6 linked regions of the Coturnix japonica genome follow. The protein of the gene in region 5 purifies or fractionates together with the protein of the main gene of each other region. This does not show direct contact. Links are inferred from orthologs where the notes say so. Each region holds a gene or a part of one and is shown on either strand. Other genes may lie near its edges. The genes, in order: UPF1, BAG4, DDX6, PNRC1, DCP1A and EDC4.

Region 1 (4,174 bases), on a different chromosome or scaffold from region 5:
GCAGCGCCTTATAATATGCTGTGCTTGTTTGATCTGCCTTTCAAAACAAGGGAAGGCGCGTTACTGAGAGCATCCAGCCTCACAGCAGCACAGACTGAGCTGTTTCACAACGGTTCCCCATGCTCAGGGCAGCCACCAAATGGACTCACAGCAAGAGCATGGGAGAATGTGCTTCCTCCTCCTTACCAGAGCTGAGTCCTGGCCTGAGGGAGCAGGGAAACGCCGTGGAAACGATCAGAATTTATCTTAATCCAAATCAAATATGCTAATTAGCTTGTCTTAATCATCAGAAAACTGTATTTCCATTGCTTATAGAAAACAGCAGGCGCTGCTCCTGCACTGCTTAACCTCTGCCTGCCTTTTGTCACTCAGGCACTAATCTGTGCTAACAGCATCCTCTTAAGCTATTAGTTAAGAATATGCTGAGGAACAAAGCTTTCAACGTTCAATGAACCCCATTTTCTGAAGAAATGAAGGGATCTGCACTGCTCAACTCATCTTATTTCAGTCCACAGGGTACAAAAAAGGCATCAGAAAATGGAACGGGAGTTAATATCCCTTCAATGTTTATCAGGATAAGATTTACTCACAATCACAGTAAAAACTTAAGCTAGGCAAAAACGTATGCAACCTGTGAGGCTTAAATTTAGCCGTGTTCCTTCCAAAAGGCATTAACGAGCTCACATCATCTATTCAAGGTAGTAAAACCTCCCTGAGAATCCTTCAAATGGTCTATTTCTGATCTCAGTGCTGATGAGAACATTGAAAAGCAAAGGTCCAAACAGAGCAGGGGCTGTTGGGTTACAATGAGCTCCAACATCACACTCACTGTGCTCCTGAGTCCTTGTTGGAACAGCTTCCCCCATCCCAAATTCAGAGAGTATGGGGATAACTGCAAAACTCTGCCCTGAACTAAAAGCACTCAGCCATTCCCAGCCATTACCAACATCCTCTGCTTCCTGCCTGCCAGGACGGATGCTTACAGACACGCTCATACCTGGATGTGCTCCCCACATCTTCCTTTTTCCCCTTCTTACTTCAAAGGCTTTTCAAACATGTTTAGACAAAAAGAGAAGCAATCCTCTGGCCTCATCTTTTACACTCATAGACTCATTTTGGGGTGGTTTTTCTTCCTCTTCTGTCTAGGCACCTCTATACTGAGAGTTCTGGAATGATCAGAGCTTTAAAAACTAGGATTTCAATCCTAATATCTTTTTAATCAATTAACACATAACACTGACTACAAACAAACCGCTTAACAACTGCAATTCAAACGGGAAAAAGGGCTGTTTTGCCCCAACAGAGCTACAAGTCAACACACAACAAAGCAAACAGCCCACGGGAGCTCAGCTCTAATTCCACACCATGAACACTGCCCTAAAGGGAGTTCCAACACAGCACCATATCTGGGCCCACCTGCACTGCACACCTGAAGGCTGCCAGCCATTCACTGCTCTAAGTTTGCTCATTTCTGTGTCATTTACAGATCAGCCTTGGAAAAATGAAGTTAAAGAACTGAATCCCCCCCCAAGTGTTTTTGAAGCAGGATGAAGAGCTTTGATCTACAGCACTTCAACTCCTCTAAAGGCACATCCTGGAACGCAATTTACAAACAATTGTTAACGCTGAGATCACTTAATATAACAATATATCCTAAGATATACAAAAGCAGTCCAGCTCTAAACAGAGCACAAAACAGCCTCTCAGGTGTTTTTGGGCTTCTTTTTTCTTGCTTTAGTCAATCAAGCAGCGTTTCCTTTTACAACACTTCTTGGTTTCTGGCTGCACGGCCCCAGTTCCCTCTTTCCTTCCGCATCTGGGAACTTTTTAAACCAGAAACGCGGCCCTCATCAGGCAGCGTTAAGAATACTCCTATTTCTCAGCCTCGACCAGCTCCGCACACCAACCAACACCAATGGGGCGCTATGGGCTGTCACTGCCCTACAACCCCAACAAACAAAGCCGCCTGGCAACCGGTGGCAAAAAGGCAAGAAGGATCTCTTGGGAAGGAACGCTCCGTTTTCACAACATTCAACACCTCGTAACTCAAACAAGAAAACAAACCCAAATCCTCCCTCCTGGGCAGCGCTCCTCGCTCCATATCGCGACTATCGGGATATGCACGGCGATATCGCGACTATCACGACACTATCACGACATTTAACCGTAGGCCCCGCCGCCTCCTTCCGCCTCCCGCCCAGTGTTTCCCCGCTCGGCCCCACACCCGCCCGCCCCTTCCGCGCTCCCCCCGGTGGCGGCACCGCCTCACCCCACCCCGCTCCCCCCCCTCACCCCGCGGCTCGGCCTCACCTGGGCCTCGATGGGGCCTGCAGGGCCCTGCCCCGCTCCCGGAGCTCCTTGGGCCTGGCCGGGCCCCGCCTGCCCGGCTCCGGGCGGGGTTTGAGTTTGGCTGGGGAGGGTGAAGTCGGTGAATTCGAACTCGGATCCTTGAGTGTCGGCACCGAGCAGCTCGGCCTCCTCCGTATCCAGGAAGGTGAGGGTCTGCGAGCTGGGGCCGTACGCTTCCACGCTCATGGCGGCGGTAGAGAAGAGAAGCGGCGCTTCGGGCCGGGCCGCGCCTCACGGAGCCCGGGCGCCGCGCTACGACAGCGGCGGGATCAGCCGCGAGCACTAGGCCGCACCCCGGAAAACCGGCCTTTAAAGAATCCCCCGACGCCCCGTTCGGGCGGCTCCGAGTCGACGGGAGGAAGGAGCCGAAGGAGGGAACCGAGAGTCCCCGGAGGAGCTGAGAGAGGAACCGTCCGGCCGCACCGCGCGCCAGGCCAGGCCAGGAGCGGTGACGCGGAGCGCGCAGCGGACGCCAGCACGCCCCGTGCGCGTGGGCGGGTGACGCAGCACGCACACACCTGGGAGGGCACGGCGTGAGGGGGCGGGGCTACGCGCGGAAGGCGCGAAGAGGGGAGCGAACCACCTGAAGTGTGGGGGGGGATTGAGGGGAGGACGCGGTGCGGGCGCTGTCAGTTCGAGCCTAAAGGAGGGGTTGCACCCCCCCCCACTACAAAATGGGCTCTACCGAGAGGGGGCGGGGCCTGATTGATGATTGACTGCTGATTCAGCCAATGAGCCCTCGAGCTGAGGAGAAGGGCGGGCTGCGGTGGCAGCCTTAAGATCTACCTCAGATCTGCTGTGGCAGCGAGGTGTTGTGTCTGTGGTGGGGAGGTATACTGTAATGTTCTGAAGCAGGTGATTAAGAAGGCTCTGGTGTTATAGAAACACCTGCTCCAGCTGTAATATCCATCGTATCTAAGCTGCCCTGCGTGGCTGTGGTACTTGGGGGCTGAATGGGAGCAGGGCGGCCTGTGAGGCTCCCTGTGTTGTGTGGGTATGAGCAGTATATGGTCAGGCCGTAAATAAAGTGCTCATTTGGGCTTTATATGCCCTCAATGTACTTCAATTAGCATCAATTCAATTAGCATCACACTCATGTCTTTTAAGGTAACACCCAGGTGTTGTGAGAAGTGCTGATAGGAGAAGCTATTTTCTCTATTGAAAATAGAGAAAAACAATAAAAAAATAGAGAAAACAATATTGAAAATATTGCAAATATATTGAAAATAGAGAAAATATTGTTGTGTTTTCTCTATTGAAACCTTCAGCCATAACATGCACGTGAACGTTGGTTTTTTAAGTGACTTTAATTCTGTTCTTGCTTTTGTTGCAGGGTAAAGCTTGGAATGGAAACAACATCTGCCACATTTAAAGCTTTGAAGCTGAAAAGATTGAAATGAGGATTGGGAAAGATTTCAATGCTCTGAGTACAGGAGGGGGAAACAAAGATGGAGAGAATACAGGACTCACTGCATCTACTTCCATATGGTTTGTGTTCACGTTGAGCTTGAAGCTATGAAGGAACAGACTTAGCAGTAGGTAATCATAGATGTATCTTAATTCATTAAAGTAGGTTAATTAAGCAAAAAAAAAAAACAAGAAAAAATAAATTTGGTTGTAAATTTACAACTGTCAAATCAGCTACAATTTAATGTGGTGGCATCAAGGTAAGTAAGTGTACACCCATATATAATTTCATACAGTACATTGAGACTTTTGATTCCTGAAGTTGAATCACAGCTACATTAAACCCACTTGTAGTGTGACTATAAAGCATCCACAGGTGAACTGAATTGATATTTCCTTAAAACCAGAAATGATCTGG
Region 2 (4,115 bases), on a different chromosome or scaffold from region 5:
TGTCCAGGGCTGCACGGCTCTGCCTGCAACTGGCTTTTCCAGGTGAAAAACTCAGAGTTCCAGGCTATGTTCCCACATCCACACGGCATCACAGAACAGCTTCACATCAGCAGAGCTACAGGGAGCGCATTGGAAACAAAAAGAGAACCCCGGGATGACACAAACCAGCTTTTGTGGGTAAGGGATCTGAAGCTGAAAGCACACGCACTGATGGACCTTCATTTATGGTGATGCATGTGACAAGTGCTGCAGCTGTGGCTCCACGAGGTACCATGGATTTGGGTGGATTTGGACCCGGTTTGGGGAACTTTGTGCAGTGATTTTCTTCTTGCTGGATGAAGGACACAGACAACCCAGTGCTAAACACCTTCAGGTGGTGCTGCTTCTTCACATCCCAGAGCAAACAACTCAATTTGCTGCTTTCATCTTCTCTTCATTGGTCCAATGCTGAGCTGTTGGTCGGGGCTGGGCTTTCCTGTGGGTTTAGGGTTGTTTCTTCTTTTCAATCAAGTCTTATTGCTTTCTCATTATCAGTAGTGCTTAGCAGAAAGAGCTGAGATTTGGATTAACTCTTTGGAACCTCCACAACAGGCTGCATTGTGGCTGATTTGCTTTCACAATCCTTTCCTTTCCAGTTTTTCCAGTATGGCCTGAATTCTATGGACAGCTTCTTTCCTGGCCTGTCGGACACCATCCTGCCCACCAGTCTCAATGGAATCCAGTTCTAACAGCAGCTTGGTCAGCATCTCCTCCAGAAGCCTGTAGGATTTATCTGTCTTTTTCCCTACAAATTCATCCACCTCTTGTTCTAACTCTTCAGCCTGCTCTGTGACCTGTAGGATCCTCTGTATCTCTGGCTGGATGGCTGCAGAATTCATTGCAGTGTGATTGCCAGCTTTGCAACCTGCCTCCTGGTTCCCAGCCAGCTGCCTCCGAGTTGCACTGTTGTACATCTGGGGCTGTGCACTGTATTGTACCTTGGGGTTGGAGGGAGATGACTTGGAGTTATGCAGCAGGGAGGGTGGTTTGTGGTCATTCATTGTCCCAGGGTGCTGGTGATTGCTGTCAGAATAGTAGCAGTGTTGGTTTGCACTCGGATCAGGTTTGTCATAAGCAGATTCCTACAATCAGAAGGGGAAAAAAAAGAGTCTACATTACAGAGGCATTAAATGAGATCTGCTCCACTTCAAGACCCGCCTCTCAGGGTCTGCTATCTCCAGTGCTTTCTTCAATGGCAGTTTGGATATATAAGCAGGTGATTTTGCTGGCAGTACTTAGAACCGCTGCTTTGTTTTTGTCTCCTGGAAGCAAACTGTGCTTGGAGAAAGGAGCACTGAGCAGCTGCATGTGTGTATTGCGGGGGAAGGCAGCATGAGCTGAGCTCTGGCTACAGCCAGAATCTTTGTGTCAGAGCCATTAAAGCATCACTGTACCTTCGAGTCCCACACAGGAGGATGAGCTGCAGTCCTGCTGCCAGTCCAGGGTGGTTGTGATTCAGAGAGGAATGGATTCCCATGTGCTGGAGCTGCAGGCCATGCATACCGTGCCTGCACCCCATAGTGAGGGGGAGCCCACGCCTCCTCCTGAGCCCTGGGCTGTGGGTTGGCCCCGGGGCTGTGGTCTCCATATGGATACTGAGGAACGGGCATCCCTGGGGTCTGTGGGGAGAGGGGGACAGATGTAAGTCCTAAGTCAGCTCCCAATGCCTGTGGCAGAAGGAAGCTCTGGGATGAGCCCCAGCACTGGGATGAGCCCCAGCACTGGGACTGCTGCTGCTTTCTGCTCCAAAGCTCGTGACCTCAGAGCTCCCAGCAGAAAGGGGCAACTCCAAGTTCTTACAAGAGCAAGCAGGGCGAGCTGGGTGGGACATAGAAGCCATTTGGGCCCAATTAGGGTGCACTGTGGGTTCACCCTCTATGGGGTGAGCAGCACAGGAGCTCTCGCTTTGCTGTGCACACCCTAAATGGTTTCTTACCTGCGGTGGGGAATACCCAGCAGCCTTTTGCCTGCGCATTGAGCATCCCTCTGCTGGGCAGTCCTGTGTGCCACAGCCCCAGGGAGGGGCAGGAGGGGGGGGTCGATATGGGGCTGAGCTGTCGGTGCTGTAGGATGGACCTGAAGTGCTGTAGGTTCGTGTTTGTGGCAGTGAGGTGTAATGGGGAGGGTATGGGGCGCTGTAGGATCCGTTGGTGTAGGGTGAGTCCATAGCCTGGGGAGGAGAAAAGGGAAAAAGAGAAAGAAAATGAGCTGAAATGTGTGTTAGGATATTTAATGGGTTATTTCTGTACTGAGCTGTAGGAAACAAGTGGGGCTTGAAGCCCATTGTATCCTATGGCATAGAAATGAAGCACAGCTCGGTCAAAGCCTTAATGGACGGGAGGGGGATGGAAATGGACCCTCATCCCCCAAACCCAACATACCGAGTCCGCTCCGTCGGTGTAGGCCCCAAAACCGAACGCTGGGCTCCAATAACCGGGGTTGAAGCCGGGGCCTGGTGGCTCCTATAAGGAAAAACCCCATTATATGGAGCAGTGATAACGGGATAACGGGCTGTGCTCGGTTCCCCCCCCCCCTTTACCTGCCCGGTACGACCGCGGTGCTCCATGTTTTCAACCCGGCACGCTGTAGCCCACCCCACAGCGCGACACAAGGATAAAAGGCCCCCACCATGCGACCAATAGGATGCGAGGACCCCTGGATGTAACCAATGAAAGGCAGCCCCGCTCGCACTACCGGCGCCGCTTTTAAAGGGACAGTGCATCGCTAAGTACCGCCCAACGTGGGGCGGTTCCGCCACCATGAACTACATGCCGGGTACTGCAAGCCTCATCCAGGACATTGACAGTGAGTGTGACCGAGGTTCTATTCATTCAATAAGGAACCAAGGGGAAAACCGGGACCCGGACGCGGGGGACCCCGGTTTTCCCCTTGGTTCCCATTGGGACCGATGTTCCGTACCCCCGCTTGATCCCTTTCCCCATAGAGAAACACCTGGTTCTGCTGCGGGACGGCCGGACGCTGATCGGATTCCTACGCAGCATCGATCAGTTCGGTACGGATATAATGGGGGGGGATAGGGGGGGCAGCACCGGGAACGACACCGGATCAGGGCTTAATAGAACCCATATGGCTCCGATAGGAACCCAGTTTGTGGTTCCCCCATCCCTTGTCATGTTGGACCCCCACCCCATGTTATATTCCCCCCTTAGGGCAGCACTAAGTTCATCCCCCCATTGACTTGTGCCTATGGCTGAGCCCCCCAGTCTTTACCTCCCTTTACCCCTCTTCTCCCTACCCCCCTTTCCCCCCTTCCCCATTCACTTGTGCCTATAGCTGAGCCCCTCATTCTTTACCCTATAGCACCAGGGATCCCTTTATCAGCTATAGGTAGTGGCTGCTTTGGGGTCCTATAGTGGCTGGGTTTGGGGGATCATGTTGTTTAGGGGATGCTCAGCATATAGGATTATAGTGCTATAATGCAATCCAGCTGCTCCCTATGCTTTAGGCTATGGGTTGTTTCAGGTGAGGTGCTCTGTTTGGTGAAAAACTGGGTGGTTTTGGTAAAAAACTGGTTAAAAACGGGGTGTTTTTTTCTCTATCCCCACAGCCAACCTGGTGCTGCATCAGACAGTGGAGCGAATTCACGTGGGCAAGAAATATGGGGACATCCCTCGAGGGATCTTCGTTGTGAGAGGGGAGAACGTGGTGCTGCTGGGGGAGATTGTGAGTGAGCCCCGTGCCCTGCAGCCCCTCACCCTGCAGCTCTGCTTAACAACAGCTCTTTGCTTTGCAGGACCTGGAGAAGGAGAGCGACACGTTGCTGCAGCAGGTTTCCATCGAGGAGATCCTGGAGGAGCAAAGGTTGGAGCTGCAAGCCAAGCAGGAGTCGGAGAAGCTGAAGGTGCAGGCGTTGAAGGAGAGAGGCCTGGCGGTGCCCAGGGCTGACACGTTGGATGAGTACTGATGGGATGGCAATGCTGAGTGGTGCAGGCACTGAAATCATGGCTTCTGTTCCCCCTTGAGGGGAAAAAAGGAGTGATGGCAATGGGGAACCCTCGGAGGTAACTGGATGCTCCGGGGGGTGCAGCAATTTCTGTTCAGAGATGAAGGTCTCT
Region 3 (3,500 bases), on a different chromosome or scaffold from region 5:
GAGGGGAACTTTGACCTGAAACCAAAAACGGCTGTTGATTCCTCGGGCTGTGTCGGAAAGGTGATGTTCTGAATGGTCTCATAGCATAAGGCACTTTGCACGAATAAGTAAGAAGCTCTTTAGCTTAAAAACAGATGAGTAACCAGGGAGAAGTTGAAATGCACTCAGTAGATGGTTGGAGAATTTGAAATCGCAGACAAGCTCGTGTTCAAAGATTCTTCTCTTTTCAGGGTTTCTCTTCTTCCCTTGCTGCCCCTCCCACCCAAAGAAAAAACAATTTAAAACCAGCAGTTAGTGCAACTAATGTTCAATCAGCACACAGTGCAAACGAGTGGAAAAACAAAAAGCCATTCCTCCTTTCATCTTCTTTCTTCCTTGCTGCCAAATTTGAAAAGAAAAAAGGCCGAGCTCTTTAGTCTTCATAGTTCCAAAATGAAAAGACGAAGAAAAACCCACAAAGAGAAGGGTATCCCCAGAGAAATGATGTGTCACAGATGTGGATCAAAGGGCTTCACCTTCTGGCATATGTAGTCAAAGCCTGAATATATAAATACACAAATAACACCTGCAATTAAGTCAGGTTCTGGTTTTGCACAGAGCTAAGAAATGAATCATGCTGACTGCAGGGCAGCTCCTGAGAAGCCGCCGGCATTGGATGCAGTTCGAGAACTGTCCCTCTGATGTGCCACTATGACCCAACTTCTCCCCCCAAGGAAGCCGCCCAAGGACCTTGCCCAGCTTCACAGTTTGATTTGCTTTATTTATTTTAAAACATGGAGAAAGCTCAGCCAGCAAAGCAGAGGCCACAAGTCACCTGGACATGACCAGCTGGCTGGGGCTAGCCTTGAGTTATTCCAAAGAGATACAGGTTTTGCTTTAATTCTCATTTTAATTAACAGACTGTTTCTTTGGCAATTTTTTTGTTAACTGAGAGTAATTGCAGCAGCTTCATTAGAATTCTTAATTCATGATCTCTAAGACAAGATGCACTACAAAACTCCTTTCAACCCAAATGGTCTGTAGCATCTCAGCTAGTAACAGATGAAATATTACCCTCTATTTGCTGTGAGAATAACAGCTTCCTTGGATTGTGAACTGACTCAGCCTTTTTTTTCCCCTCAGACAGCAATCAAAAAGTCACACTTCCAAAGTCCTTGCCAGAGAAGCCTCATTTTCTTTTAATGCTATGTAGACCTCAAGTGGCAATGAAGATGAATTACAGCTCTGCTACCTACTCAGCTTACTTGCAGAAGTTCTATGAATCAAAGAATGCAAAACAAATATGAGGCACCTATGGCTTGAACCTGCTCCTCTCAGCTGCTGAGATGAACAGGCTGTTCTGTTGGTGCTATGTTCTTAAGAGACCTATTTTTCACTCCTCACCTTCCTGATAATCACTTTCTGCCCCTACTGCTCAGCTAAGAAATACAGAAAGAACTCATTAGGCTGCTCACAGCCATCCTGTCACCAAGCAGGATTCTCCTCATCTCCTCTGACAGCCTATTTCAAACCTTTGTTTTCACATTCCAAGACTCTTCAGCACATCAGTTTCCCCTCTTCCCCCACAATGACATTCCAACACAACTACTCAAGTCAGCACATACGCACATGGTTACTGTTTCTCATCTTCTACAGGTTCACTGTGATATTCTGCCACGTAAAGGCTCTTGTCAATGTTGCTTGGTATGGGCTTTATTTCAGTTCCCAGCTGCTCCTCAATACTTTTCAGGTTGAATCGATCATCGTAGGTGATCAAGTTGATGGCCAGGCCAAGATGTCCAAAGCGACCTCAAAAAAGAAATTTAAACTGAGTAACAGGAGGTTAAATGAAAAGCCTGCAGATTCTGCAGGTGTTATTAACATCGCTTTCTCATTATAAAAGTCAACCTGGACCCCTGCAAGCTTCACATCAACATCTGATAAGGACTTTCTACTACCAAGTAAAAGTCTTCCACTACTGCAGTGTGGAACTTGAGGTAAACAGAGTTCCACTCTTCACTGTCATCATCAGGGATATATCTGGAAGCTGTCCAGACATCAGAAACAAACTTTGGAGCACAAGCAGAACAACAAACAAAACACACTATGCTTTAAAAAACACAGAAATTAAGTTTTCAATATAGAATCTTCCTAAACTGCAAACAATAAGCATTGGCGAGTTCCATGAAATTAAAGCAAAAGGTGCTTTTTTCCCTCATTTTCTTTTTATTTTTGGCCTAGGCTCTTCAAGCTCATTTAAAGAGCACGGCCATTAACTCAGGTATTTGTGAAGAAAATCCTATGCCATCATCCCTGTAAGTAAACATCAGAAAAAAAGCTATTCCAAATAATTATCAGTACAGTGATAGAAAGCAGAACCCAATCAAAGCATAAGGAATATTACAATTATCAGCAAAGCTGTCCCTAAAACATGTTTTTCCTCTCACCTGATCTGCCAATACGATGGAGATAAGTCTCTGCCAGCTTTGGAAAATCAAAGTTTATCACCACATTCACAGCTTGGATATCAATACCTCGGGTAAACAGATCTGAAAGACAACACAAGTCATGAAGAACATTAACTTCCATGAAATCTAATGCTGGGCTGGGAAATTTAGCCTTTGTGAATGTTGGTTAGCACTAGTTTCTAAAGACAAGCCCTTTCTGTGTATCAAAACATTTGACATAAATTCTGTTACAGCCTCTTCCTGCTCTTTATCCATGTTAAGCATAATAAAAACCGAATGATCAAGACATCAAATCTTCAGTTCTAGGTAAAAAAAATAATTCTCATGAAGCCAGTTTTTGCACTATTTTTGAGCCGGTCAGCTTTATATAAGCATCTTATCAAATAAGGCACACACTGTCATTTTACAACAGACTTGAAATGTGAGCTACGTCCCATCAACTGAACTATCTCTGTTTCATTTCAAGTGAGTTTTAGTAATGCAGCCAAGATACAACTCAGGCCATATACAGACCAATCAGAACTGCAAAGCATTTGGGAAGTGATGAAGAATCAGTAAATCATTATTCAATAATGCTAGCCACAGTTCTACCTACAGTTCTTCTACTATTTCATATCCAACAATTTATAGGACACTCAAATGTTAGAACATAAAGAAAACATAACTGAAGTACAAATTATCATCACAATGAAAGGATTTGTTAGCAAGCTGCACCACCACAGGTTGCCAAAAAGAGAAAGCCTGTATGCCTACAGATTTAGGCTGGATGTCAGGGAGAAGTTCTTTACTCTGAGAGTGGTATGTGGGCTGTGGCTGCCCCGACCCTGGAGGTGTTCAAGGCCAGGTTGGATGTGGCCCTGGGCAGCCTGGGCTGGTATTAAATGAGGAAGTTAGTGGCCCTGATTGTGGCGGGGGAGGGTAGTTGGAGATTCATGATCCTTGAGGTCCCTTCCAACCCGGGTCATTCTGCAATACAGGAGCACTGCAGCCCGCTACACACAGGTATGACAAAAATTCTCTTACTAAAACAGATTAGTTTTATCACTAAGCAGT
Region 4 (4,038 bases), on a different chromosome or scaffold from region 5:
TTCCAAGCCCTCAATAAATAGAAAGCGTAAGGCGTCAGGAGTCCAAATTCTTTAATGGAGTTAAAGCGACGTGCAGCGCTTCAGCTGAGCGCTCTCCCTCCGAAGACAGATTAGGGTCGGCTCGGCCTTCAGCTCTGCGGCCATGCGGAGCGCAGCGCTACTTGCACAGCCCCTCGAGGCGCTCCAACGTGCCCTTCATGTCTCGGATGCGCTTGGCCAGCGCGGGCACGGGCTGCATGGCGCGGTCCAGCTCCTCGCAACGCGCCACCAGCGCGTACATGGCGCGGATGCTGAGGTCGGCCGCCTCTCCCAGGCTCTCCACGCCGTCGCGGTACGTCTGGATGCAGCCGACGCTGAGCGCCGTGAGCGCCTGCAGCCCGCAGTGCACGTTGCGCAGCAGCTCGTCCACCTGCGCCGCCACCTGCCCGGCCAGCGCCACCACGTCCTGCAGCGCCCCGGGGTCGATGGCGGGGATGGAGCCGGCTCCTCCCGCCGCCGCCGAGTGCTGCTCTGCCCGCGGGACGCCGCTCAGCCGGATCCTCCGCTCCAGGTTGTTGGCCACGAACTGCGTGAGCCGCCCCTCGCGCAGCACCGTGCCCTCCAGCTCCAGGGCGCTCGCCAGCGTCGCCCTCCGCCCCTCCGGCAGCTGCCGCCCGTCGGGCAGGGATCGCCCTGACACCGCTCCTCCGGCGGCGGCCAGGCTCAGCGCCTCCAAGCTGCGCTGGTCCCGGCTCGCTCCGTCGTCGCCCGGCGGTCCCGCAGCGGCACTAGGCCGCGCCGCCATGACGGGCCCGGCCGGGTACGCGCCTCCACCCCCGTCGGGGGGCGCTTGGCCGCCTGTTTACGTCGCTTCCGATTGGCTGAGCGGCTCGAGGGGGCGGGGCCGACGCCGTTAGCGCCGCTCCCGATTGGCTGTTGTCGCTCAGCAGGGGCAGCGCTCGCCCCGTCCGTTCGCTTGGCGTTTCCAGCCCGTGACTCGGAGCCTGGGCCGTGCCCGCTGTTTGTGTCCGCTCCCATTGGGCGGCCTGCGGAAGCGGGCGGAGCCGCGAGTGTTTGTGTCGCTTCCGATTGGTCGGGGCGGGACCGGAGCCGCGGCCGGTCGGCTGCGATTGGCGGAGCCCGGCGGAGAGGCGCGCCGCTCTCCCCTTTCTCGCGCGGCGATTGGCTGGAGGGCGGAAAAGGGCGTGTCCATCCCGTGTAACAACACAGGGCGCCGCCGGCCGCTCGGCTCACTCCCCGCCATGTTCTCCTAGCGGCCGATCCCACCGCGACACCATCTCAGCCCACAAAGCCCGGGCCGACAGCCCACAGCGACCCGAGCCGCTCGTCCCCTACCCGGGCTCGACCCCTCTCCCGTTCACAGCTCTGGGTACCCACGTCCCACCATGGTTACCAGCACGGCGCCGCCGCCCTTCCTGACCCGGATCTCGGCGGGCACCGAAGACCCCCGTCGGCTGCCCTCGACGCTCCTGCAGCACCTCAGGCGGGGGGACGACAACTGTGAGAACCAGCCCGGCTGCTGCACAACGGGGCCGGGGGGCGGCGCGCGGCCCGCGCTCAAGAGGGTGAGGAGGAGGAAGGGCAAGATCCGGCCGTGCCCCGCGGGGCTCCTGCCCAGCCGCTACCAGCAGTTCCAGCAGCACCGCGCCGGGCTGGCCAGGAGGACGGCGCTGGGCGCTCCCGTCGCCTCGGATATCTCCACCGCTCCCGGCTTCGTGCCGACCCCCGCCGAGGAGTCCCTCGCACCCACCCCCTCCAGACCCGCCCTCAGGAAGGAGGTAAGAAGGGGCTCGGAGACTTTGGGACTTTAATCAAAGCGCTTCGTTCCCTGCTCGGTTGGGGTGCGGGGCAGGGGGCGGCACACCCCCCTCCCCTGCGCTGTGTGAGGGGCGGGGGAACTGAGTTTCCGTTACGTTCGTTGTGTGCGGGGAGAAGGGGGGGGGGGGACGAGTGGAATCGCGGCCGGCGATTGGCTGCTTTCCTCCACCAATAGGAGGCCGCCGTTGCGCCCAGCAACAGCCGGATTTAGCCTGCTGGCAGCGCGCCAGCTGCCCCTGCGCGCGGAGGCGGGACGTGCGGGGCGCGCAGCGCCACATGGCGGGCGGGGCGGGAGGTGAAGCCCCCTGTGGAGCAAGTGGTAGAAGTGCCGCTCTGCTACACAGGGCTCGAACCCCGGGGGTTGGACTCGATGATCTCTGAGGTCCCTTCCAACCCGCACCAGACTGTGAGGGGTCCGAGGGGGCGCTTAGTGACGGACCCGTTGTAAAGACGCGGGGAAGCCTGGCCCTTCCAGGCTCGTTGCCACGGGCGCCTCTGGAATCCAGAGAGGGATCGTGTGCTGACGCGAATTCTTTGTCTCTTCAGTTCTTGAAGAACAAGATGGGAAAGACTGAGAAGGCTGCCACTCCCCACGGCCAGCCCGTTCACGGTTTACATCTGTGTGAACAGCCAAAGATGAACAGGCAGAAGGGTAAATGTAACACGCCAATGACAAAGATTGCCTCGGCGAAAAAGATTGAGAACTTTTGGCAAGATTCGGTCCCGCCGGAAAACGTTCAGAAGCAGGAGAAAAAGCCACTTAAAAACACAGAGAACTTCAGAAATGCCAAGTCCAAGAAACCCGTCACCCTCACAGATGCGAACCAAAAAGAAAACTATGCCGGGGCAAAATTCAGTGACCCGCCATCCCCTAGTGTCCTTCCAAAGCCCCCCAGCCACTGGGTGGGGGGCACAGCTGAGCTGTCTGACCAAAACAGGGAGTTGATGGCTGTCCATCTGAAAACTCTCCTCAAAGTTCAGGTGTAGTTTCCGAGCTCTTCTGAATATGAAGCAAAACTCCATCCGAGGAAACTTACACATGCCTTGTTGCAAACAAACAAACAAAAAAAAAACTAAAAAAAAAAATTAAAAAAAAAAAAACAACCCACAAACGAAAGACTGTCAAGTCTTATACTCGCATACAGAATTCCTTGTATTATATTTTTTATGGTTGTGTAAATAGTGTACATCATGTATTATGTGTATATTCTTGTTGATACTTTGAGAGGTACATTTTAGTTTTGTTATGAAAGGATGTATTTTGCACTGCCTGAGTGGTAGATGTCTTGTATATATATATACACAACATGGACAGTTTTACGTGTGTGCTTGACACATGAAGACTTGACTTGATTTGCACAAGGTAAATGAATATTCTGAACGGAGAGTACAGCTTGCTGACGTTAAGGTTCCAGATCAAATGTGAATGGTTTATTCATGCACTGCTGACAATAGTTCTATGTTCTGTGTCCCAATCAAGTACAAACATGGAATTTTCTTACAAATGTGAATTTTCTGCTCTGGAAAAAAAAAGAAAAAACAGTATCTGGAATTCCTGTTTATCTGTTTGTAACAAAATTAACTGGAATTTGAGTAGAATTCCAAGCCATCACGTTGAGCACTGCTGATTTCTTTTAAGAGAACAAAAAAGAAAAGAGCAGAGCTTCCTGCCATCAATTTAATTGGTCACTAAAAAAATTAAATAAAACAATTTGGCCTCCCCTAAGGTCACGTCTCTGTTTTTCTTGTGTGTGTGTCTTCAAGTGTTTGAACTGAAGTTGCTGCTTTTTTGTATGTGTAACTGATATTTCTTTTGTCCTTGTCATTCTTTAGTTATCCAAGTAGCGAAGAGATCCAATAGCTCACAGAACCTGCCCCAGTGGCACAGTGGTAGAAGGGCCGCTTTGCAAACACTGGAGGCCTGGGTTTGAATCCCCCCTGTGGCACAAGTGGTAGAAGTGCCGCTCTGCTACACAGGGCTCAAATCCCAGGGGTTGGACTCGATGATCTCTAAGGTCCCTTCCAACCCACATGAGGCTGTGATACTGTGATCTCTGGGCATTAGCTTATGAGGAAGGTTAGGTTATGTAAGTGGAAAACAACCAGTAGGGTCCTAAGTGTTTCCTTTCTTAGCACGCTCAGTAGAGAACCAGCGTTCAGCTGTATTTGTGTTAAGTATTGCTGGTTCTGGTGTGTGCGCTCACATTGTAGACCTTGTAT
Region 5 (3,500 bases):
ACCTCACAGCCTCAGAGTGGATTTCTGTAATAAAATGTCAAACAGAACTGTAGAAGGATGAGATGGGGAAGGTGACTGTCAAAATATTTTCCTGTTTTCTCACTCTCTCATCCAGTTGCCTTAGAATGAAAAAGATTGTGTGCTTGAATATTCTAATTATAGTTAATCAGTCATTTTAAAGTATCTTGAGAAGGTCTGTCTCACCTTCTGTGATATGCTAGAAAAACAAAGTGAAAAGTAGCAACTACATGGCAGTGGGTCTACATGTAAGAATACTGAAGGTTAACAGCTTCCTTAGCTTCTAAGATGAGAATTACTGTTGTCTTGTGTTAATTGGTAAATCACTTCATTGTGAGTAGCATTCCCCAATACCTTTCTGATTTACTGTAACAGTAGCTACAATTTTGAGTTTGTTTATGCTTATTCCTATAGTTTTTTTTCTAACAGCATTCATTCTTTCTGGACACAGTCCTTAGTAACTTTCTTTTCTTCCTGCAGGTTGCACCTCCGCAGTTTGTTACAGCCACAACTACAGTAACTCCTTCAATCCTCCTGTCTCCTAGTGTTTTTCAGCAGTCAACTACAAAACCTACTGAAGCAGAAAATAAAGCCAATTCTTCATCGCCTTTAACGCTTGGAACAACAGAACTTCAGACAGTACCTCCTACTGTTCTCAGTAGGTCTCAGCTTCAGGAAGCACTGATACATCTAATAAAGGTCCTGTCTGAAGAAAACTGTGAGGGGTGGGGTTACAAGTACAGTAGCCAGTATTGAGCCTTTGATTGCAAGATGGGTGACTTGCAAGGACAGAGCTCTGCTTGGTGCATTCTTTCACACACCTGTCAATTTGTGAACACTTGATGAAAAAGATACATGTACAGAAGCAGTAGTATGAGGAGGGGAGGGCTGGGTTTCTCTTGAGTGTTTTTGCTTTTCTTTGGAAAGCTTTCCTGTTGCCACTTACCTTGAACTGTTCCTGATCTTTAATTTATGTATGTTTGGAAGAAGTTACAAAAAGTTCTAATTGTACCATTCCTAGTGACTAAAAAGTTCAGTTGAATTAAATCTGTAATGCTGGGAGTAGCTAGACAGTGAGATCAGCAGTGTAGTAGAAGAGATCAGCAACAAGTAGAAGTGGCCATGGATGGCAGCCATTCTCTTAGTTCAGGATTCTGTAACTTTCTCCATGCTGATGTTGCTTGGTCTTGCACTCAAAATGCAGGTCTGAAGTAGCAAATAATATTTTCCCAATGAAAAAGTTACGATCAAAAGAGCCAACACCAGACCCCAATATCATTTTAAATTGCTTGATTTATGTGTTGTTTTTTGCATATTAGTGTGTATTTTTTCTTTTAAAGATATGAAACTAGCTTACTTGTAAGTCTTGCAACTGAGTTCAGTTGTCAGAAGTCTTTGCTGTTCTCATTAGCGATTCTCACATTAATGGTCTGAAGAATGTTGCTGTGGTGACTTCAGAGAGCTGACTGGAATAGTGTCTCTTGTCTTCTCCTTACATATAGAGATAGTTAGTTATATATAGGCAGCAGTCACTGTACCCCCACAGCACAGAAGTACTTGCAGAGTGCTCCAAGGAGAAAACATATATTCACTATATAGATTTTTGTGAAAAGAGTACTACATCTTCAGCCTAGATAATTACCTACTATCTGAAAGTGTAGGACTCAGGAAATATCTCCAAATGCTTTCTTACAGACAAAACAAGTTCACTTCCCAGTAATTCTTTAATGTGGGAATTTTTATATAACACAGTGCAATCCTTTTCAGGCTGATTTTGCAGGCAGAACTAACTCACGTGATTTTTGACACTTCTACGTCCTTTATGTGGATGTCTATATGCAGGATGGAATTTACTAAGTCTTGATGTTTTCGTACTCTTCTCAAAGAAAGTTCACTTCATGGGAGAAAGTGAAATTGTGTAGCTAGGGCTGACCTTGGAGCTGCTGGTTTTTTTTCATCTGAGTATCCATTGTGCTTAGTAATCACTTTAGTTTCATGGTTCAAAGTCTCTGCTGTCCATACAGTGCTGCCTTTTGTACAGGTAGGCAGCCAGTTCCTTTACCCTAACCCTCAGATAGACAGCAGTATATTAAAAATCTTAATAACAACTTAAACTGAGTTAAATTTTATTTATATATATATATCTTTTTACTAATGCTTCTGTTGTTTGTTTTCCTGCAGAACGATTCCCGTTTTCTCAGCACTATCCATGAAGTCTACTTGCAAGTCCTAACCAAGAATACAGACAACATTAAGCTATAATTGAAGCTAAATCTGCTTAGAATGTTACCACTTCAGAAATAATTATGCCTCATCTATAAAACTAATATTTTTTTAAAAGAATATTTAGTTTTCAATGTCTTGAATTTGAACCTGTTAGGAAAGACTATTCCTTAAGTACTTTAAGAAGGTAATGTTCTCAGAAGTGATTTAGGTTTTCACTGTGATCATCACCAGCAGACCTTTCTTTTTACTGGGGGAGGGGATTTAATTTACATATGAGCTTTCATTTGCATTTTTGATCATGCAGATGTTTGCTCTGGCTTTCGTTCCTAGCTGTATTCACCATTCAAGGATTACAGACTATGTACTACTTAAACTAGCAATGTAGTATAGTACACTACACCACACCAGAACATGACTTGGTTTTGGTTCTAAGGTGGGAGCTGAATGCCTTGTTATTAAGATGGCAGATGTGGGGAAGAGGGGGATTTGGAAGCCAGGCCTTTGTAGCTAAGCCTTTAAACAAAGGGTTTTAAAATGTGATTTGCTGAGTACTTTAGTACATTACTCTAGCTAATGCTCATCAGTTCATCTTTTAAATATTCCATTAATCTTACTGCTTCATGTTTGATAAAACAGATATCCAAGTGAGTAAGGATGTTTTCTTTAAGAATGTGGAATCAGAAATACACAAAATCTTCAATGATTACATTATTTTTGAGCAACAGGACAGGACAGTTCTGTTATAAGTTGAGGTTCTTTCAGGTTAAGTGTAGGTAAGAGACCACCACTGGAAGACTGCTTGCCTGTTCTGTAGTGTTTGATTTGACTGAAATACTTGGTTTCCCTTTTAACTTAAGGATGGACCATATGTTATTTGGATTTCATTCCTCAGTTGTGTTGTAACTGCAGTGTTGAAAACTATGCAGGTGGGGAACAATTGCATGCTCTTCTCTTGGCTTCTCCAAATTATTTGTCCATTCTTCATGCTTTAAAATTTATCTAGTTAACATGTTATTGCTTTTTATATATTATTTCATAGTTCAGTAATGTAAGTAAGAATTTGATCTCATTCTTTCCTATCTGAAATCAGAAAGATTTCTAACTATATTTTCTTATGCTGCTGGGTTGGTTTACCCACAGCTTTTTATTTCATGAAGTTATACAAAGGTAGGTAACAGAACTTCAGGTCTGAACTTTTTCCAGCAATACTGGTTTTAAAGGATGCTTTTGCAGTTTAAGAAAGAAAAAGTTTTGGT
Region 6 (3,500 bases), on a different chromosome or scaffold from region 5:
AATCAGGGAGCCAAGAGAGCACAAGAGGAGAAAAGCCCCTTGCAGAAGCTGTGCTACTTTCCCCCTCGTTAATACAGACGGGTTGCTCTAATTTCTAATGGGCAGCTCCTTCCAGTCATCCATTTTCTCTTGCAAGACATTCATATGGGCATGTTTAGAAACACACAGAAGCAGCAAGCAGGTAACAAAGGATCGATGTTGTTGAACAGGGGGCACTGTGCCAGCACTCAAAAGCCAACCAGAAACTGAGGCCATATTAAGCTACAGTGTCACAGTTCCAATGAAGCTGGCAAACGCATCCAGTGTTCCCCCACCAATGTACAGTTCTGTGATTTACCTACCATAAATTTCTCTGCTGCACTTTGGGCTCTGAGTAAAGCAGAACCTCCTCCCACATCCCTAAGCGAACCCAGCAATGCTTTCTGTGGGGTTGCTCCTATTTGCAAAACTGGACCGAGGCTGGGAGCTCCTGGCCACAGCCCAGCCTTGCTGCTAACAGCTCTGTCAGGCCCTGCACAGCTGGTCCCACAGCCATCAGTTCCCTGGCAAGCCCAGCATACCCGTCATCTTTCTTGCCCTTCCGCTTTAGCTTTGGGGAAGCCCGAGGGGATGCCTTGGCTTTCCAGTCCTTCACAGGCAGCCTCTGCGTGGATGCTTTGGCACCAAATCCACCTGATGTAGAAGCCAAACTTGCAACTTCATCATCATGGTCACTATGAAGGAACAGCAGGGGAGAGGACATCACTTGCAGTACAGCACGCTGTCAGCCTGCACTAAAAGGAGGGGAGTTCACATTGCTCTGCATCCACACACATCCAGGGTCACTCAGTTAAGGACACCTGTCACATTCAATCTCTAATGCACAGACCTCTGCAGAGGCCACTTCATTTTCATCCAGGCCTGCTCAGGCAGAGCTCAAGTGCTGCGTGACAGGATTTGAAGGGTCTCTGCATTACTCAGAGCTGCTGTTCAGGCAGAGTGGCTGCTGGTGCCTCTTCCTGCTGCATGCACACACTAGCATAGAAGCCCTAGGATGCAACCGCTGACCCAGCAGGGAACCCAAGCATAGCACGCCCTTAGAGCTTAACAGAGAGAGAGCACTTAACGCAGTAAGTGTTGCAGGAGAATTGGGTTGAGCCTAGGAACTGGGAGATGCTCAGATTCTTTCAGCTGCTGACAAGCCATCCAACACAGACTCCAAACTGAAGAGTGGACTGTGAATGAACTCACAGCTGTCAAATGGCTCTGAGCTCACCAGGCACACAGAACATGCCCACAGAGCTCCAGGGTGGCTCGTGAGGGAGTAAAGATGGCAAAAGTGAGAAGCTAACTCCTAAGATATCTCCTCTACCTTATCTAAAGCAAGGGATTTGGGAACAGGTCCCTTAATGGAGTTGCACTGGGAACTAAATCAAGCTCAGTCCCTGCTCTTAGGAGCAGTACAGGCCAAATCCTGCCCTCCAGAATGTCAGCTGGACAGTGTCCAGAGGTCAGTCATGATCAGCTGAAGGCACCAAAACATTATGGAAGTTGGAAGGCACACACACTGAATCAGGAGACAAAGCAAAGACATTCACCCCACGTGTGAAGGCTTGCTGGGGACAGAAGCACGAATGCAGCCTGAAAAGAGTCCATGCAGGGCGAGAGAGGGGGCTGAGCACTCCTGTACCTTTGTTCTGCACTAGCATCCTGGCTGTCATGCTGCAGGAGGTGGTAGCTGTGTCGATGATAGGAAGAGCTCTTGTGCTTTTCTTCAACCTCATCTCTTGGGCTAGAGGAAGAAAAAAACATATATACACCATCATGAAAAGTGTCTTTCAGCTTGGTTATTTGCTTACTCCGCTTCCCATGGGAGACCCTGACAGAAGATAGAAAATTAAGTAATAGAAGAACCAACACAAAAATCAACAAAAGCAAAAGATCTCTCTGCACAGATCCAGAGCGCAGCAAGAAGTGCTGTGTGTGGGCACTAATTTCTCCAGGTCTTTCAGTTCTTGCAACACTGAACTCAGTCCAAAGTTTTGTAAGCAAACTGCATATACACCTAAGCCACAAAGTAGGTCTATTTGACTTCAGCAAGCAGGATCTCCAAACAGAAGTGAATGCTTATCACTTGAACATAGGCTGATGGTGTGGTTGAGCAACAGTCTCTTAGTGCTAAGGCCCTTATGGTGCAGGCAGCAGCAGCCTAGAGATACTCTGGAGTCACCTCGCTGTCCCAGCCCCATTAGAGGATGAGGACACTGATTCTGCAGTGAATCCTAACACTGCTGCTAGTGTAATGGTTTGCTTCCTGTGAGCAGGCCTATGTGACCCTGCCCCATTCTGCCTGCTCAGCTGAGCTGATGTCCTGCATTTCCTCACTTCTAAAGTACCTTATTTATAATACTAGCTGCAGAAAGCCAATCACAGAAGAGAGATAAAGTAACCTATGATCAATCTGTCGATTATGTGCTGACTGTTTTCAATAAGAGCATACAGGGAGATCACTTGAGATGAATTTTAGCTTGAGCCAGCTTTCTTTCCAGAAACAATGTACTAAAAAAGTAAAAAATCCGGCTGAAGTCTCTATTCAAGGTAAACATGAAGGCCAGGAAAACAGATCTCACCTTCTTAGCAGATATCCTTTGTGCTTAAAAGTGTCAAAGAGCACAAACTGATAGAACTGGCCTAGAAAATGCAGGATGTAGCCTATAAAGACCAGGCACATGGAAAGGTTGAATCACCAGATTCTTTAAAGAAAAGAAGGGATGGAAAACTCTTCTTTAACAAGAGACTTTTTCATCAAGCCAGCAGCTTGAAAAGCACAAAGAAACCATCCTAAGCAAGACACATCTGAGTGATTACCTGTCTGCCATGCTGTTCCTGGTTTCTCTGGTTATGTCAGGAGCTGCTGGCCATGGCTGACTCACAACACTGTCCAAAGACGCATTTTCCTGAGTTAGAGCGGTCTCCAGTAACGACGGAGCATTCAGTCTGTCCACCTCCACTGGAGGCATGTCCAAAGAGTGGTGGCTGTGCTCTGAATTGTGCCGGTTCCTTGGAGACAGCAAATGCAAGGCTGAGGCTGCAGATGCCATACTGTCTGCGTGATGACTGGGCTCCAGCACCTCTGCAGAGAGCGCAGATGGAGCTGCTGCAAAGCTACGCTGCAAGGTCTCAGAAGCGATCTCGGGGATATCCTGGGACATGGCTGTGGAAGCAGAGGAAATGACGTCCGGCGAACGCTCACGGGTGGGAGATGCCTGAGGCACCACCAAAGGCTCCACTTCTTGCAGCTCCAGCGCTAGAGAGGAGTTTCCCGGTGTGACCTGAATTGAGAAATTAAACAGGAGACTTCAGGGTAATGCAGAGATACCCCAAGAAACACCCATGTCTTACACTGGCATCCGCCTCTGGAAAATGCCAGCTGTATCCTTTCTGCATGTGATCCCTGTGCTTCCACTGCTAAGCAGATGGAGAAGAGCCCCAGTACGTTTAATGAGGCTTTTCCTACCACC

What was found.
Region 1: the proteins of DCP1A (region 5) and UPF1 purify together in Homo sapiens (co-immunoprecipitation; 4 studies listed by BioGRID and IntAct, with this or other methods). This does not show direct contact. The link is inferred for Coturnix japonica from reciprocal best matches to the Homo sapiens genes DCP1A and UPF1.
Region 2: the proteins of DCP1A (region 5) and BAG4 purify together in Homo sapiens (affinity purification with mass spectrometry; 4 studies listed by BioGRID and IntAct, counting the BioPlex papers as one, with this or other methods). This does not show direct contact. The link is inferred for Coturnix japonica from reciprocal best matches to the Homo sapiens genes DCP1A and BAG4.
Region 3: the proteins of DCP1A (region 5) and DDX6 purify together in Homo sapiens (affinity purification with mass spectrometry; 8 studies listed by BioGRID and IntAct, counting the BioPlex papers as one, with this or other methods). This does not show direct contact. The link is inferred for Coturnix japonica from reciprocal best matches to the Homo sapiens genes DCP1A and DDX6.
Region 4: the proteins of DCP1A (region 5) and PNRC1 purify together in Homo sapiens (affinity purification with mass spectrometry; 3 studies listed by BioGRID and IntAct, with this or other methods). This does not show direct contact. The link is inferred for Coturnix japonica from reciprocal best matches to the Homo sapiens genes DCP1A and PNRC1.
Region 6: the proteins of DCP1A (region 5) and EDC4 purify together in Homo sapiens (co-immunoprecipitation; 9 studies listed by BioGRID and IntAct, with this or other methods). This does not show direct contact. The link is inferred for Coturnix japonica from reciprocal best matches to the Homo sapiens genes DCP1A and EDC4.

Annotation. Positions count from the first base shown.
Region 1 is NC_029543.1:2,812,594-2,816,767, forward strand, and holds the start of UPF1 (regulator of nonsense transcripts 1), read right to left. Parts: upstream 2,801-4,174; 5' UTR 2,536-2,800; coding exon 2,311-2,535; intron 1,697-2,310; exon of another isoform or gene 1,487-1,696; intron 1-1,486. UniProt on the Homo sapiens protein: RNA-dependent helicase required for nonsense-mediated decay (NMD) of aberrant mRNAs containing premature stop codons and modulates the expression level of normal mRNAs.
Region 2 is NC_029537.1:3,645,528-3,649,642, reverse strand, and holds the start of BAG4 (BAG family molecular chaperone regulator 4), read right to left. Parts: upstream 2,801-4,115; coding exon 2,579-2,800; intron 2,502-2,578; coding exon 2,421-2,501; intron 2,210-2,420; coding exon 1,976-2,209; intron 1,659-1,975; coding exon 1,434-1,658; intron 1,122-1,433; coding exon 615-1,121; 3' UTR 1-614. Other genes in the region: U6 snRNA-associated Sm-like protein LSm1, read left to right, coding at 2,799-2,844, 2,984-3,052, 3,608-3,723, 3,794-3,964. UniProt on the Homo sapiens protein: Inhibits the chaperone activity of HSP70/HSC70 by promoting substrate release. Prevents constitutive TNFRSF1A signaling. Negative regulator of PRKN translocation to damaged mitochondria.
Region 3 is NC_029539.1:4,829,464-4,832,963, forward strand, and holds part of DDX6 (probable ATP-dependent RNA helicase DDX6), read right to left. Parts: intron 2,529-3,500; coding exon 2,427-2,528; intron 1,789-2,426; coding exon 1,613-1,788; 3' UTR 1,609-1,612; intron 539-1,608; 3' UTR 1-538.
Region 4 is NC_029518.1:69,064,252-69,068,289, reverse strand, and holds PNRC1 (proline-rich nuclear receptor coactivator 1), read left to right. Parts: upstream 1-1,238; 5' UTR 1,239-1,240; coding exon of another isoform or gene 1,241-1,277; 5' UTR 1,278-1,385; coding exon 1,386-1,778; intron 1,779-2,364; coding exon 2,365-2,805; 3' UTR 2,806-3,544; downstream 3,545-4,038. UniProt on the Homo sapiens protein: Nuclear receptor coactivator. May play a role in signal transduction.
Region 5 is NC_029527.1:4,957,762-4,961,261, reverse strand, and holds part of DCP1A (mRNA-decapping enzyme 1A), read left to right. Parts: intron 1-498; coding exon 499-717; intron 718-2,199; coding exon 2,200-2,280; 3' UTR 2,281-3,500. UniProt on the Homo sapiens protein: Necessary for the degradation of mRNAs, both in normal mRNA turnover and in nonsense-mediated mRNA decay. Removes the 7-methyl guanine cap structure from mRNA molecules, yielding a 5'-phosphorylated mRNA fragment and 7m-GDP.
Region 6 is NC_029526.1:1,600,966-1,604,465, forward strand, and holds part of EDC4 (enhancer of mRNA-decapping protein 4), read right to left. Parts: intron 3,312-3,500; coding exon 2,848-3,311; intron 1,772-2,847; coding exon 1,670-1,771; intron 714-1,669; coding exon 561-713; intron 1-560. UniProt on the Homo sapiens protein: In the process of mRNA degradation, seems to play a role in mRNA decapping. Component of a complex containing DCP2 and DCP1A which functions in decapping of ARE-containing mRNAs. Promotes complex formation between DCP1A and DCP2.